Linked DNA regions of Macaca mulatta. The protein of the gene in region 3 interacts with the protein of the main gene of each other region in a pairwise test. Links are inferred from orthologs where the notes say so. Each region holds a gene or a part of one and is shown on either strand. Other genes may lie near its edges.

Region 1 (4,061 bases), on a different chromosome or scaffold from region 3:
GGTAAAAGAGACGCCACGGTCGTTCTCGCCCCAGCCCTGCACGTCCTTGTCAGGGTCAGACCACAGCAGGTCACACAGCAGGCCCTGGTCAGGCACGTCTGTGGGCCGCATGATCCGCCGAATCTGCTCCATGGACTGCAGGTCCGGGGAGAGGCCTGGAGGGCCAGAAGGAAGGTCACTTCCTCAAACAAGGACATCCTTCCTCCAGGAAGCCTTGGCCAGTGAGCCTCACCTTTTCCACCACCCTCCTGGTCCCTCCACTGGTCTCCTGGGTGCCTAGGCAGGCAGAAGCCATCCCCTTCCCCTCAGCTTTTTCAAGTTCCCAAACAGGCACAAAGGCGCCCCTGGCCTCCGGAGCACAGAGCTCCTGGGAGAAAGGAGACAAGCCCGCCCCATGTAGGATGCACATCAAGGAAGTGAGTGCAGCCCAGCACAGGGGGGTATGGGAGACACTTCCTGAAAGGAGTGACTTCCCAGATGACAACTAAGGAGAGCTCACCTCCGTGGCAGCAAAAGATCTTTTCGTCCACTATGGCCGCAATGGGCAGGCAGTTGAAGCAGTCAGTGAACGTTTTCCACAGTTTGATGTTGTAGCGTCTCTTGCCTGCCCAGAGGGAGGTAGCTGTGAGGGGTCTGCCTGCTCCACCCTTAGCCGGGGTCTCTGGGCTATTCAGCCGCAGATGGGAGAGAGTCAGGCACCAATGCAAACCACCCCCACCCCTGCCGCCTGTCAGCCTTCCAGGAGTAATTCTAGTTACTTTTTATTTTAATTTGTAATTTAAACAAACAGGATCTGGGCAGGGCATGGTGGCTCACACCTGTAATCCCAGCACTTTGGGAGGCTGAAGCAGGCAGATCACCTGAGGTCAGAAGTTCAAGACCAGCCTGACCAACATGGAGAAACCCTGTCTCTACTAAAATACAAAAAAATTAGCCAGGCGTGGTGTCGCATGCCTGTAATCCCAGCTACTCGGGAGGCTGAGGCAGGAGAATCGCTTGAACCCGGGAGATGGAGGTTGTAGTGAACTGAGATCACACCACTGCACTCCAGCCTGGGCAACAAGAGCGAAACTCCGTCTCAAAAAAGTAAAGAAACAGGGTCTTGTTCAGTCACCCAGGCTGGAGTGCAGTGGCAAGATCATAGCTCACTGTAACTTGGAGCTTCTGAGTCCAAGTGATCTTCCCGCCTCAGCCTCCCACCAGAAGTAATTCTAAAGCACCCGAGTCCACTGGAAACTGAGTTCCAATCTGGACCAGCCTCAGGGTTGGCACTCCTTGCACGCCCCGGCCCACGAGCCGGGCCAAGTACAGGTCTGGTTTATCTCAGCTTCTGGACAGCAGAGCTCATCTGCAAACATCCTAAATGCTTAGTAGCAAATGTAGAGGGAACGTCACCAGGCAGGGCCCTGGGGGAAAGCACTAGAATACGGACAGTCCTTCAGTCAGCAACCATTCCCCAGACCCCATGCCAGGAGGGGCAGGGCAGGCACAAGAACGGACCTGGGCCCTGCCTTCGTGGAGTGCACAGTCTAGCAAGTGTCTGTCAGATATCAGGCCAATGTGAAGGTCCCACTGAATGACAAGGAGTGTGGTTCAGGACCCGGGCAGCCCCAGACGCTCAGACCACTCACACTCATCGTAGAAACCGTAGATGCGGTTGATGCTGGCGCACTCGTGGTTCCCACGGAGCAGGAAGAAGTTCTCGGGGTACTTGATCTTATAGGCCAGCAGCAGGCAGATGGTCTCCAAGGACTGCTTGCCCCTGTCCACATAGTCCCCCAGAAAGAGGTAGTTGCTCTCCGGAGGGAAACCGCCATACTCAAATAGTCGCAGAAGGTCATAGTACTGGCCGTGTATATCACCTGTGACCCAGGGAATCGGGTAAGCTAGATGCAGGGTCTAGACCTGAACCCAGGACCAGGACTGGGCTCAAGGGAGGAGGACTCCAGGAACTCTGTGGGGGCCAGTGCCACTTTCAGGAAAGCAAGGGGACCTGGGTCGGGGGGCTCACCGCAGATCTTGAGGGGTGCCTCCAGCTCCAGAAGAATGGGCTGGCTCAGGAAAATCTCCCGGGATTTCAGGCACAGGCCGCGGATCTCGTTCTCTGTCAGCTGTACATTCTTGCCAGGCCGCGAGCCCTGCACTGGGGGCGCAATGGGGTGTCAAGACCCGGGACCCTGACAGGTGGAGGGTGGGCGACACGGGTGGCCCCATGGATACCTCCGGGGGCGCCTAGGCCTCCTCGGCCGCTCCTTGCCCGCAGGCAGCTGTTGCTGCTGAGCCTCCCGGGACCTCGGCCTCAAGCCTCCCAAGGGAAGCCCCCAACTACCCTCAGCGCCTCGGGAGGCGACTGTCGTGCGCAGGGGGCTGCCACCCAAACACCTCACAGCGCAGGACCCCTTCCTGGACCGGGCTTCCCGGGTTTCTCCCTCGCCTCAAGAACCCAGGCAACCCGTGCGCCCCCGGCCCGGGAGAGGGGGCTGCTCCGCGCGTCGGAGCGGGCCCAGGACCTCTCAGGCGCGTCCGCGGGGGGGCGGCTGCGGCCACCGAACCTCGCGGCCCGTCCCCGCCCAGTCTAAGCTGGCCCCGGGGGCCCGCCCGCGCGCCACTTCCGGGCCCGGCAGGGGGCCCGGGAGCGGCGGACGCAGGCCTCCCCCGCCGCGACCAACCTTCTAGCAGGCGCCCGATGATCGAGTCAAGGTTGAGCTTCTCGCTATCGGACATGGCGGCGCCGCCGCTCCAGCCCAGCAGCTCCGGGCCCGCTCCTGCCTCCCGCCCTCCGGCAGCCTCCTTCCGGCCTGGCTCTCCTTCCGCCCGCCCCAGTCCGCCCCCGGCCCGCGGCCCCGCCTCCGGGCCTCCCGGGCCCGCCCCGCCCGGTCCCCCGCGCTCTAGCGCCCCCGCTGGACGTGAAGCGCCGCGGCCTGGGGGGCGGGGCCTTGGCGGCGGGGTCTGTCGGGGGCGCGTCCAACTGGTTACGCCCCAGAGGAGGCGCCCAGCCCGGTTCAGAGGATGTGGGGCCGGAAGAACTGTGGAAGTTGTTTTTCTCTTTCAAAAGCAGAACAGCCGTTCCCACCCCTGCCCTGGGTGGAGGGTGTTGTGAATATATTAATAACCGGCTGCTAGGCACTGAGGGTTAACTGCTCGAAGTGCAGGAAAGGAAACTGAGGCTCAAGAGATATGAACAGACTGGTGCAAGACCTGGACCTCGCATTCACGTACGACCCCCTTTTTCGTGGGTCTCCGTGGCCCCCAGGCGGCTGACCACACTCAAAGACAGCTACGGCTGAACTTCCAGCGCACTTTGGTCCTTGGGGCATGATAAATTAATATTTTCTTACAAGTCCCATAATTAGCTTTTATTTATTTATTTTTTTTGAGACAGAGTTTTGCTCTGTCGCCTAAGCTGGAGTGCAGTGGCGCGACTTTGGCTCACTGCAACATTCGCTTCCCAGGTTCAAGGGGTTCTCCTGCCTCAGCCTCTGGAGTAGCTGGGATTGCAGGCGCGCGCCACTGCGCCTGGTTTTTGTGTGTTTAGCAGAGGTGGGGTTTCGCCATATTGGCCCGGCTGGTCTTGAACTCCTAACCTCAAGTGATCCACTGGCCTCGACCTCCCAAAGTCCTGGGGGGGTTACAGGCGTGAGCCAACAAGCCTGGCCCCATAATTAGCTTTTGAGTAGCACAGTAATATTGCAGGGTGTGCACGTAAAAAGAATTACTATATGAGCAGACATGGCTGGGTGCAGTGGCTCACGCCTGTAATTCCAGCGCTTTGGGAGGCTGAGGTGGGAGGATCGTTTGAGGTCAGGAGTTCAAGACCAGCCTGGCCAACATGGTGAAACCCCATCTCTCTAAAAATACAAAAAGTTAGCTGGGCATGATGGCAGCCGCCTGTAATCTCAGCTATTGGGGAGGCTGAGGCAGGAGAATCACTTGAACCTGGGAGGCGGAGGTTGCAGTGGGCCAAGGCCCATTGCACCCCCTAGCCGAGGTGACAGTGTGAGACTCTGTCTCAAAGGAGCAGACGATAAATTAACCTTAATTCTTGTTGGAACCCTGAGTTG
Region 2 (4,203 bases), about 97 Mb from region 3:
TTTCACAGTCACATTCCAAGAGGGTTACCTAACCCTGCAATTAAAACCCACCCTGCCACAGGTGGGTGTTTGGGATGACCTTTCAAATAGTACTGCATTTTGTAAGAACTTTCAGTACCAAGGATAAAGCATAATATCATGTTCTCAGTAAGATGCACTGTCACCATGTTTCTCCAAGTCAACAAGAGGCCAGAGGTAATGCCTTTAAAACCAACTCACCCAACCAACAACATCTACACTGGAATAATAAGACCAATCTGCTTATTTCACAGCCAGTTGCCACTCTATTGGCCCTCTCTGTATTGCAAAGCATAAACTGAAGTGTAGAAAAATGAGGAAGGAAAATACCAAGAAGCAATAAAAAGGAATAAAATATTATGTTTCAGATGGCAGGACTCCTAGATGCTTTGGTAATTTTTGTTTCATGCTTTTTTTCCTTCAGGATTTCATACAGAATTTGGGGATAATTTGTTATTCCCAAGTTATTATTGCTGTATCAACCCACTCTGTCAACCTAATAGTCAAATTAACTCAAATCATGATTTGCCAGCACAATAAACATAAAATTATGTTAGCTAGGAGAGATTCAGTGGCACTGAATTAATGAAATATCTGTTTTTGGAGAAAATCATTTACATTTTCTGTGCCTCAGTTTATTTACTTAGCATAGATAATCTCTAGAGTCCCTTCTAGCTTGATTAGTGTATGATTTTATGAATTTCTTTTAGAAAAAATGAGAAACATATTTTCTCTTCACAAAGTAGGCCTTTAATTATAACTTTTATTGTCATAACTGCAGAATGAAACTTGGCTTTTAATCTTTAATGTGAATCATTGTATTGAATTACTTAAAGTAAATGTTTTTAAAAATAAATTATTCCATTGATCTTCTTACATTTTTCCTTCTGTTGTTAGCCTTCCTCTCAGTAGATGGTGCTCTTTTCTTACAGACGATACTTATCTTATTCCTCATCAAAAGATCAGGGAAATTAGCTTTACTCTTTGAAAATCATTAATTAAAGAAATCAGACAGATGAGTAGAAAGAATTGCTTATAAGCAATTTGCAGCACCTTGGTAATGAAACGATACTGGAGAGAGCAATTGTTAAATGATTTAAGAGCTCCACTGAAACCTGCAATACTTGCTGAATAGGTGAAACAAATATTGTAACTAAATATGAAAATGCCTTGTTACCTACATACACATACCCCTGGTTAAAAAAGAAAAAACCCTCGATTTAGGAGCTATTTTAAAGTCTTAAAATATTTATATTATTTAACAAAAACAGATATATGGCATTTCACATTCACATATAGTATTTGAATATATATTTGAATATACACATCAACAGCAACACAATCAATACCAATCTCAATCAATATTGAGAGCTTCCACACTCTGCCAAATATACCTGGAACATCTGGGTAAACAGAAAGTGGACCACAACTCTTTTGAATTAATTTTGCTTGATAAGAACACTTTGTTTAGAGCACCCATCAAAACTTCCTGTGTAAGCATTTCTGCAGTCTCTACTGTGGAATTATGATGCTTTTGGTCACTCCTAATTAGCTCCAACTTGTGGAGGCATTGAAATACAGCCATGTCCTGCAGTTTTCCTGAACCAACCTACTCATTCCAGATGCAGTTTGTGACTTAGGCGATCTGAAGCTACCAATGGCAAACTGGTCTAGGCAACACAGCTGTCATGTTTGTTATAACAGGAGGAAAACTACCATGGAGAGACGCTAGGGAAACTTCCTCTACCTAGTGTTGCCTCAGGATGAAAGGAAGATATGGGTAAGGGCTGCTATGGTAGGGGAGAAGAAAGGGTGGGGTTGTAGTACAGGGAAGTACTAAACCAGTAGGAGTAGGAAAGTTGCCAAGGTCCATCTCAAAACAACTGAGAAGACTTCTCCCCCCTCCCCCCCACACACACCACAGCCCCAACCAAATTTGAGAAAGCTAACTAGAATTTCTCACCCATTATTCACAACTTACTCTTTCCATAGCTCCTGCAGAGGGACTGAGTGTAGGACTCTGCCAAGAGCCCTCTTTGCTCAGTATAAGGAAGAGCTCTAAGTCTACCCTATAACTTCCCCCCCACCCCTAGACCTTTGTAGCTTTAACCAAAGCAACTTCTCTGCTCCTGAAATTTTGGATTACTTCTTTATCAATTGAAAAATTAGAAAAGTAGATTTTCTCACAGAAATAGCAATCACTGTCCGTGGTAGCCTCCAGAGTTCCCCCAGTTTACCTCCCCTCTTTCATCCTCCCGCCCAACAGTGAGCCTTGGGAGTTAGGTGTCTCTTTGGACTCCCTTGAGCCGCTGAACCCTCCGCTCGGAGCCCTGGTGCTTTCCTTACCTGACAATCACATACATGACCAGGAAGTTTCCGAAGAGCCCCACCACGCACACGATGGAGTAGAGGGCCATGATGGTGATGGCCGTGATCATGGAGGGACTGCCGGTCGGAGGGCACAGGCTGTCTCTCCCGCCCAGGTCGGTGCGGTTCGGACCGCATGGGTCGGACAGGTTGCCATCTAAGTGGGACAAGTTGACCCAGGAACCGGGGCTGGGTGCTGGGGAGCAACTTGAGTGCGCCAAGGCATCAGTGCAATTGCTGGCGTTCGTGGGGACAGCGCTGCTGTCCATGGTACTGACGGCCGGCCGGGCACCGCGGTGCGAGGTAGCCAGGAGCACCGGGACTTTTCGGTTCCAAGCGCCTCAGTGACTTCCTTTCGCCGCTGCCACAGCTCCTGCTATTTCTTACAGAAACCAGTTCTGGCTGACACAGAGAGGAGCGTCAGGCGGAGGGGACCGAGCTGAGCATCTGACATTCTCCTCTGCCTGTAGCCCCCTCCCACCTTAGTAGTTCACAGCGGCTCATCCCCAGCCACGCACCGCTGCGGGAGGGGAGGGAGGGCCATGCGGGATTCGGAGGCTGGAAGGGAGGGAGGAGAGAAAAGGGGTGGATTTTGCGCAAAGCGATCCAAGGAGTCGGTCTCTTCACTGGGCACTCTTCTGTGCAAACACATCTAAGGGAGGGAGATGGAGAGAAGGGTTGGGGAGAGAGATAGAGTTAGTTTTTGGCAGCAGTGAAAAATAAGAAAGGGGGCTAACATCACTCCATTTTCCAGCGCCTTTTTCTCCTTAAAATCTGGCAGGGAATACACTGGCTTGACGAAACCCTAACAACCCTAAAACCCCAATGCTCCTCCATCCCTATTGCCAATTTTGATCATTTGGGAATAGGGGACACACAATCTTGTTTTGCAGTCCTTGTTGCCTCAGTTGCCAACATCTAAGAAAATGTAATAATGTTTCTCCAATTTTCTTCCCTACAAACCTGTTGGGAACAACAGCGATCCTCTATTTTCTGAAAAAGAAATAAGAAAGAAATAAACTTTTGTGTAGAAAACCTGTTCCTCATTTTCCCCAATTTCTCTTAGGGTGAATCTCTGTTTACCTCTGATTTTGTCTCAGTGAGGAAGAGGCATAAGAAGTGGTTACAGAAATCAGAAGGTTGTGGCATCCAGTAAAGTCAACTAAAGATAATGTTGATCTTTCACATCTTAAATCTCATAGACCTATTAGGAATGATTTGTCCTTGTTATCTGAAGACTTCCTCGATAGACATATGCTTCTGAGAAGAAGGTTGTTAAAACCAAACAAAATTTGATTGCCTGTTTTCTAGTGTAAAAATTCTAGGAAAAGTCACATAACGTATGGAAATAGAGTGGCCTACAACAAGGTCCTTGAGAAACATGGATACGTTTTTGAATTTTATACCTTACTTCTAAATCCACGAGTGCTTCTATTTTAGAAATAAATTTGTAGTTACAAAGAGTAAGTTCTTGGCCTTTTTTCCCCTAAAGTTAACACCAATTCTGAAGTGATTCTCATTTCTGTGCATGTATATTTTTGTGCATGTATATATCTTTTAACCATAAACATTGAAAATACATGTCCCCAGTTGGTCTTGAAAAATTAACTGCACTCTCAGGGAGCAGGGAGGGTAGATCTTGAAAGGAACATTTAATTCCAATATTATTTTTAGGTATTTATCTTAGAAGCAGATAACTCATAGGTAAACTCTATTAATCATAGGCTATTTGCCAATGTTCAGTATTATTTTTATCCTCTTACATTAAAGGGTATAATTTATACAATAAAATGTTACAGAGATTTCCTAGAGACTAAC
Region 3 (4,283 bases):
GAAAGTGAATCTTAGTATTACACAACAGAAAGTAATAAAGAGGCCAAGAATAAAAACAATTGAGACAGCAGTGTCAGGAATGTAGCAGTGTCAGAAATATTTCAAACTCCAACTAATTTCACATAAACATATATTTTTCTCTGACCTAAATCATGAATCTTATGTAAAAGACTAAAACTAATCAAGACACCTTACAGTACTAAATAAACAGTAATCACGAATCGTAGACATCACGGAAATTCAGAGCTGTAAATTTCCCTACCAATCTTCCAGCTCAACTTACACATCACTCAGAGGAAGAAACTGAGGCCCAGTCTTGTAAAATATCCACAACCACAAACGACTGCAGAACTCAGGAAATCTAGGATTCTTTGTTCATCTATACTGGCTCTGATTTTATGAGCAAATTACTGTCAACCATAAATTTAAAATTATAAAATTCTGTCACATCTAACAATAGCTTTCTGGCAGCCAGATCAGAAGTAAACACTTCATAACATAGCACCGTTCACACAAATTAAAACATAAAAGTAGAAATATTTCACAAGGAAATTAACAAAATGTCCTAACTTAAGATAAAACAAAGATTTGATATTGTGAATGAAATGTTTAGACGTTTAGATTAAGGAAGATAACACTTAGAAGTACTTCTTTGGATGTATGCAAGAATTAAAAAATGTTCAAGGCCTATTTTTGTGCGTGATTCTTTGCAGCCAAATCATTTGGTAGATTTGTATTGCCATTCGCCTTTCTGGTTAAATAGTAACTTACTTATCAAGCTTCTTCTTAAATTTTAGTCCCATATAAGAATTTAACCACAAGGTTGTTTATCCCCTCTACATACATGTCACTAGGATCTGAGCAGACCCCTTTGTAGCCAATCAAAGTGAGGCTGCCGTGAATGTAAAAAGCTCCTGCTTTAGATTTGGGGCCTAAAACCCTGGATTTGTTTCCAGACAGACTGATACGTTAGATTGATTTTTTTTTTTCTTCCACACAAGTAAACTTGATACACGCTATTAAATTGGGCCACATTTCAATAGTTCCCATAGCAATTCATAATTTTATATACAACTGATTTGCTTCAAGCTTTGTTTTAACCTAGGAGAGGTAGGTGAGGAAGGAAGGGGGCAAGCACAAACCTAAGGTTGTTGTTTTTAACTGCAGGTGGAAAACATAAGCCAATTTTCTTCAAAATACTAAGCTGCATTTTGTTCCATCTTCGTTTTCAACAAGGCTTCATATAACATCAACACCTAAGGACCTGTATAGAGTACTTCCAATCGGGAGAGGTAGGTTTCTGCTCCCCTAAGAAAAATGGTGCTCCTGGGGTTCCCTTCTCTTACCCTCCCGGTTGCTTTCACTAAGATATACTGATGGCAAACTTGGGTCCCTTGTCCTTTAGTCCCCCTAGACAATCTCTGGCCTAATTTTGATTACTCCTCCCCCTGCGTATCCCTGCTCTCTCTTAATTAGAAATCATACCTCAGAATCGTGCCTCTCTTCCCTCCTTGTAAGAGGAGAACGCCTGACCCACCACCTGGAGAACAATGTAACCCAACTCCGAGTCCATGGATTCCTCTACCCAAGCCCCAAGATTTATCTCCCAGGGAAATCAGAAAGCCAGTTCTGTCCTGTCATCCCGGATTCCCTCAAGGTGTCCTGCTCCTGGCCTAAGATTACCAGCTCCTTCCTACCCTGGAGCATTCTACTCACCCTCCTCTTCCAAGAATCTCGCCCCTCACCCTCGGATCCTTCACCGCGACCCCCGCGCCCACCCGGAGCAGCACAACAAGCGGCGAGTGGCCTCCGAGGGCAGAGCCCGCGAGGGCGGGGGTCGGGGGAGGTCGGGGGCGGGTCGAGAGCGGCGCAGCGGTGGCCGGCCACGTCGGGTCAGTGCCCCACTCCCACGGCAGGACACAAGCCCAGTACCTTTGTAGTGCACCCGCAGGTTGTTCTGAGAGAGGCCGATGTAGCTGAACTTGTCCTTCGGGCTCCAGGACCGAGGCAGCGGCGTCTCCTGCTCGTCCACGGCTGGGTAGAGGCGCTTCAGCCGCCGCTGCAGCTCCTTCTCCTGCTCGTTCAGGGTCGAGTCCCCGTGCGGGAAGGGGGCCGCGGCGCTGCTGCCCGCCACCAGAGCTGGGGCCGGGGCGCCTCCGGCCGGGCCGGGGCCCGCGGCGAGGCCCGGAGGCGCTGGGGGCCCGCTGGCGGGGGCGGCCGCTGAGGCAGGTGGCGGCGGGGGCGGCGGCGGGGGCGGCGGGGCCGCGGTGGCCGGGGGCGGCGGCGGCGGGGGGTGGAGGAGCAGGGCGGCCGCCGCGGCCCCTAAGCCGTCGCCGCCCGCGCCGCCGCCGGGCGAGCCGGCTGGAGAGGAGCCGGCGCTGACGGCCGGGGGCGCCGGCAGGACGACTCCGGACACTGGAGCCAAGGCCGCCGGCGGTGGCGGCGACAACTGCTGCTGCTGTTGTTGCTGCTGCTGCTGCGGCGGCGGCGGCGGCGGCGGCTGCCCGGACATCCCGGCCGCGACTCAGCCTGCGGCCACCTCCACCTCTTCTCTCCTTCCTCCTCTGCTTCCCGGGGGCGCTGTCGCTGCGGCCGCCGGCACCAGGCGCCCAGTCCGCCCGCCCCGGAAGCAGGCGGCGGGCCGCGCGCCCAGGGAGACCGCGGCGGTTGAGGGGCTCGGAGACGCGGGAGTGGGCGGCGGGCCCGGGAGGCCGGGAGAGAACGTTGGCCGGAGCGCGGGCGCGCGGCCCGGGGACGAGGTGCCGAGGGCGGGGGCGACGCGGTAGCGCGGGAGGGGAAGGCGCGCTGGCGGCCGCCGCGGCCGCTGCTCTCGCGGCTGTTTCCCGGCGGGCGGGCCCGGCCGGCGCGAGACGCTGCGCGCGGGCGGTGCTAGGCGAGGGGGCGGGACGGAGGCGCGAGAGAGGCGCGAGCTGCGCGAGGGGCGGGCCGCGGGGCTCCCGGCTGCACGCCGCGAGGCGCCCTCCCGGACCCGCCAGTCGCTCGTGGGCAGGATCGCTGGGCTCCCGGCGCCGCAGGTCCCTTCGGAGATGTCCGCCTCCTCCCGCTAGGCGGCCGCCGTCTCCCCCCTCGCCGGCGAATCCCCTCCCACTTGACTTCTTTTTGTTGTCGTCGCCCCACCTCCCCACCGTAGGGCTCCTCCGAGCCGAGACGCCGCTTCTCGCCCAGGCGAGAGTAATCGAGCCCCGCTGGGGCCGCCGCGAGCCCGGGCCCCGGGTCGCTCTAGGACCCGTCGGCTCGGGGCGTGCGGAGCGGCTGAGGCTCCCCGCGCACTGCCGCTAGCTCTCTTCTCAGTCCGGTTCCCGTTTGCCGCCTCCCTCCAAAGAGGAACGCACTGCCTTTGGTACTTCACAGTGTTTAATTTCGTAACATTGACCATATGGGCAGGGGAAACCACTTCTGAAGGCAGTCTCCCAGTTAAAATAGTGGCTATTTCATTAATTAATTTTACGAGGACTCACAGTGAACTTAGTGGTAGAAGGTGTCATTAATAAAAACCGGCATATCTTCAAATACCAGGAGCAGGCACTGTATGAATACACAATTATAGTGTGTGTTTAGGAAGGGCTTCTAGAGACGTCAGAACATTTTATAGACTCGTTAATTTTCATAACTGTTCTTAGGTAACAGAAAATTATGCCCATTTTTAAAACAAGGAAATATTTACTGAGGTCAGCAGAGTCAAAAATAGGACTTCCTACTTTGCAATTCCCAATAGAGTGCTTCGTCGACTAATTTGGCACAACTTGCCAAGTGTTGCTCTCTGACCCATCATAACATTACTACTTTGTTTTCACCACTTCCCTTTGTTTAGCGTATCCCTCCCTAGCTGGCAAAATCGGGCTTTGCATGTGTAAATTATATGATGTAAATTCTGATATTTTGTTTGCTTCCAAAGATACGATGGTAATCATTTGGTCAAATAAATGTTTTGCCGAAGAGAAAATTATTTCGTTTTGAAGAAGGTAGGCCAAAGGTGATTTAATTTAAGGCCAACATTATCTGGCCAGAACAAATAACAGTCATTCGGCCTAATTTCTCCCTCAGTTACCCAGACAACTAGATGTTCTGTTGTACTTTATTATTATTATTATTGTTTTTGAGAGAGAGTCTCGCTCTGTTGTCCAGGCTGGAGTGCAGTGGCGTGGTCTCAGCTCACTACAACCTCCGCCTCCCGGGTTCAAGCGATTCTCCCGCCTCAGCCTCCCAAGTAGCTGGGCCTACAGGCCTGTGCTCACACCTGGCTAATTTTTGTACTTTTAGTG
Region 4 (3,582 bases), on a different chromosome or scaffold from region 3:
TTGAACTTTCAGTCTCTTTCAGTGTTCTGATGTAGGTTAAATTCTGAAGTAATTTTTTGCTGATTGTACATTTGGTAAAATTTACCTGTTAAATCATCTAATTCTGGTGGCATTTATTTGGGGGTAGACATATGAACATTTTTAATTTATCTTACAGTGTTTTTATTAACTAAGGAAATCTTATGTTGGCATGGGTCATCTGTTTCGTTTTACTGTTGTAGCCTTAGCACCATGCTAGTCATATAAAAGATGCCCAGAAAATTTGTTCAATGAATCCTTATAAGGTTGAATAGTGCTTTTACTTTGCTAAAGTTTTATTTGAACTGTGTTAATATTTTTCTTCTTCTTTTTGTTTCTTCTTCTTAAAGTTCCACTCTTGTCCTGGGGACCCAGCTTTAACTTTAGCATCTGGTATGTTGAACTTAGTGGCATTGATGATCCTGATGTAGTACAACCTTGTCTCAACTGGTATAGCAAGGTAGGACTGTATTTTAAATCCTGACTTTAATGGCTATAAAAGGAGAAATATGTCAATCTCTTATTCATTGAGAATAATTTAAAATATTCAAAATAATAATAACAGTTAGCTAACGTTTTATTAGGTACTTCCAGTCTGCCAGCTTTTAAGCGATCCTAATAACTCACTTTGTCATTATCACTCTATGAGACAGGTGCACTTACTATCCCCATTAGTTTATAGATGAAGAAATGAAGCACAGAGAGATTAAATAGTTTGCCTAGGATCACACAACTGTAAAGTGCTTGAGCCAGTGTATGAACTCAGGCAGTTTGGCTCCACAGTCTGCTTTTATATTATACCCATTTGACTCTGAATTTTGTTTTTTTTACTTGTATTCATATAAATACTTAAAACATAGTTTTTAGTGGGATAGTTTTGCAGTCTGATGGAAAATTTAAGATGTCGATGTGATTTAGACTCCTAAAGTAGTCAACAGGGTTAAAAAATATTGCTGTTTAATATAACTGTAATATATATTGTTACATGGTAGTTACGATAAATCTTTTTTAGAGGCCAAGAGTAAGTTATAGTTAATTAATTATAATTAAGTTATTAATAGTTAATTATAATGTGTAAGGATTAGATGTTTAATGACCTTTTATTAGTTAAGAAGTCAGCTATCAACTGATTTGTGTTTCAGATCTTATACATCTTCCTAAATACATTTTATTTTCTTGCCTCATTAAAGGGTAATGCCTATAAGTAAATCATTGTTGTTTGATTATCATGCAACATTGTTGTTTGATTATCATGTTGTTTGATTGGCATGTCATCTGTTTGTTTGAATAGTGGTATAGTTAGGAAATTTGACGTAGTCCCAGAACATACTCCTGAAGTTGAGATTTTTTAAAAAAAATCCTTTTTATAAGATTGTATTTTTGGCATCTGTCCTATTAGGGGAAATTTTTAATAAATTAAGTGCCTGCTTTTTGGATTCCAGTTAATTGAGATGTCTACTTTATAGCTGCTTAATAGATGAGGTAGTGCAGGCTTAGAAAACAATTAAATTGGGCCGGGCACAGTGGTTCTCACCTGTAATCCCAGCACTTTGGGAGACCGAGGTAGTGGATTGCCTGAGGTCAGGAGTTCGAGACCATCCTGACCAACATGGTGAAACCCCGTCTCTACTAAAAATACAAAAATTAGCTGGGCATGGTGGCATGTGTCTGTAAGCTCAGCTGCTTAGGAGGCTGAGGCAGGAGAATTGCTTGAACCCAGGAGGCAGAGGTTGCAGTGAGCTGAGATTACGCCACTGCACTCCAGCCTGGGAGAGAGAGCAATACCCTGTCTCAAAAAAAAAAAAAAAAAATTAAATTTAGTCTGTTTTTGATGATTTTTGAGTCATAACACATGTTTGTAAATTTGAAGTATCTGTATACTTGATACTTGTCATTCAAGTAATAGCTTAAAAACCAAAAATAGAAAGCATAATATAATTGTATGTGAATTATTTCATGTTTTTTGTGCTCTCAGTACCTGCATTGTAATGGGATTAATAGACACTATGGAGTTATAATTTTTACAATATTAAGTGGAGTTTAAGAAATAGGTGTTCTCCCTTTCTTCAAAGTTGAGACTCTGGAATTAGGTTTGGTTTAATAACTTTTGGCTACATACTTTGTAACCTTGGACAAGTTTGGAACAGGCCAAGTTTTAGTTTTGCTAGTTAAAAGAGCCAAATAATGATACCTAATGAATCAGGTTAGTACACTGCTTGGGACATAGTGTTAATAAATGCTCAGTGTAGATTAGTTATTTTTACTGTTGTTAACTGTTTCCTACAGTATCATCTAACCAAATCTCTTCTTTCCATACTTACTCTGTGTTCTAGTAGTACCGTGAACAGGAAGCTATTCGCCTTTGCCTAAAACACTTCAGACAACACAACTATACAGAAGCTTTTGAGTCACTGCAAAAGAAAACCAAGATTGCACTGGAACATCCCATGTTAACAGATATTCATGACAAGCTGGTGTTGAAGGGTGATTTTGATGCTTGTGAAGAGTTGATTGAAAAAGCTGTAAATGGTATGAAACTTTGATTGGTTATTAGGGTAAATTCAAGTACATACGGGAAACTTTCACGAAAAGAATATAGGCTTATGCCAGTTATTACTCTAATTTTTTTTCTTGTTTTTTTTTTTACTCAGTTAAAGATTGTTAGCTCTTTGGATTAGGGACTTCTTTCATGTAAAATAGATCCATGATGTAATGAGACTTTAAAAAATGAAATGTACTTGAACTCACATATAAATTTAAGTTGGCATCTTGGGAAACCGTGCACTTACAAATGATAGCATCAACTAGCATTAAACTGTATCAGAAATATTTTGATATTGATAGCCAATATTTATTAACAGTGTATTTTGAGAAGAGGGGGCTAGATAATAAAAAGTGTTATTAATAAGCAATTATATATAAGGAACAAGGAGATTTGTATTGAAAATAACTTCCTTATGGTGTAAATACTATATAATTGCCGATTTTCTTGTGTGACCTGTAATCTGGCTTTGAAAGAAATGTGAATAGTTGAACATCTATATTATCTCCCAGGGTATTGACTTTGGAGGGTAACGCTCATTTGGATATTTAAGGTCTGATGCGTTTTGTTATTTAAACTAAAAAGGGACTCTGTTGCTTATAGTATGACATTTTTTAAAAATCTTCCACAGTAACTTTCATAGTGACAAAGAACAGAATAGTTGTACAATACAAAACTTGTGGAATTGAATTTGGTGCATCTTTTATAGGAAGAAATAAGAAATAATACATTTTTCAGTGATTTGCTCTCATTTTCATTTTATCACAGTTATCATCTTTTACTAGGTATTCATATTTATTAGATATTGGGTAGCTAAAAAAAAACCAGACCTGCACTGCCTTCTTTGAGTTTGTAAATGTAAAGTTAACTTAAAATGAATTGCTTTGAGCTCCACTTTTTAAAATATGACAAATCTGCTTCTAAGCCTTGTACATTGTTATTGCTTACTTGATTGATGATGATACTTGCAAATAAATGATTGGTATGTTTGAAATTGAATATATTTTGGAGTATAAACAAAA

Evidence for each region.
Region 1: the proteins of RANBP9 (region 3) and PPP1CA interact in a two-hybrid assay, tested with the Homo sapiens proteins (2 studies listed by BioGRID and IntAct). The link is inferred for Macaca mulatta from reciprocal best matches to the Homo sapiens genes RANBP9 and PPP1CA.
Region 2: the proteins of RANBP9 (region 3) and OPRM1 interact in binary tests that used the Homo sapiens proteins (3 or more experiments, as listed by UniProt). The link is inferred for Macaca mulatta from reciprocal best matches to the Homo sapiens genes RANBP9 and OPRM1.
Region 4: the proteins of RANBP9 (region 3) and MKLN1 interact in a two-hybrid assay, tested with the Homo sapiens proteins (2 studies listed by BioGRID). The link is inferred for Macaca mulatta from reciprocal best matches to the Homo sapiens genes RANBP9 and MKLN1.

What each region holds. Positions count from the first base shown.
Region 1 is NC_133419.1:6,982,110-6,986,170, reverse strand, and holds the start of PPP1CA (serine/threonine-protein phosphatase PP1-alpha catalytic subunit), read right to left. Parts: upstream 2,801-4,061; 5' UTR 2,725-2,800; coding exon 2,670-2,724; intron 2,144-2,669; coding exon 2,012-2,143; intron 1,863-2,011; coding exon 1,632-1,862; intron 605-1,631; coding exon 500-604; intron 156-499; coding exon 1-155. UniProt on the Homo sapiens protein: Protein phosphatase that associates with over 200 regulatory proteins to form highly specific holoenzymes which dephosphorylate hundreds of biological targets.
Region 2 is NC_133409.1:72,845,147-72,849,349, reverse strand, and holds the start of OPRM1 (mu-type opioid receptor), read right to left. Parts: upstream 2,848-4,203; 5' UTR 2,655-2,847; coding exon 2,365-2,654; intron 1-2,364. UniProt on the Homo sapiens protein: Receptor for endogenous opioids such as beta-endorphin and endomorphin. Receptor for natural and synthetic opioids including morphine, heroin, DAMGO, fentanyl, etorphine, buprenorphin and methadone.
Region 3 is NC_133409.1:169,400,873-169,405,155, reverse strand, and holds the start of RANBP9 (ran-binding protein 9), read right to left. Parts: upstream 2,843-4,283; 5' UTR 2,513-2,842; coding exon 1,933-2,512; intron 1-1,932. UniProt on the Homo sapiens protein: May act as scaffolding protein, and as adapter protein to couple membrane receptors to intracellular signaling pathways. Acts as a mediator of cell spreading and actin cytoskeleton rearrangement.
Region 4 is NC_133408.1:171,098,197-171,101,778, forward strand, and holds part of MKLN1 (muskelin), read left to right. Parts: intron 1-368; coding exon 369-478; intron 479-2,354; coding exon 2,355-2,547; intron 2,548-3,582. UniProt on the Homo sapiens protein: Component of the CTLH E3 ubiquitin-protein ligase complex that selectively accepts ubiquitin from UBE2H and mediates ubiquitination and subsequent proteasomal degradation of the transcription factor HBP1.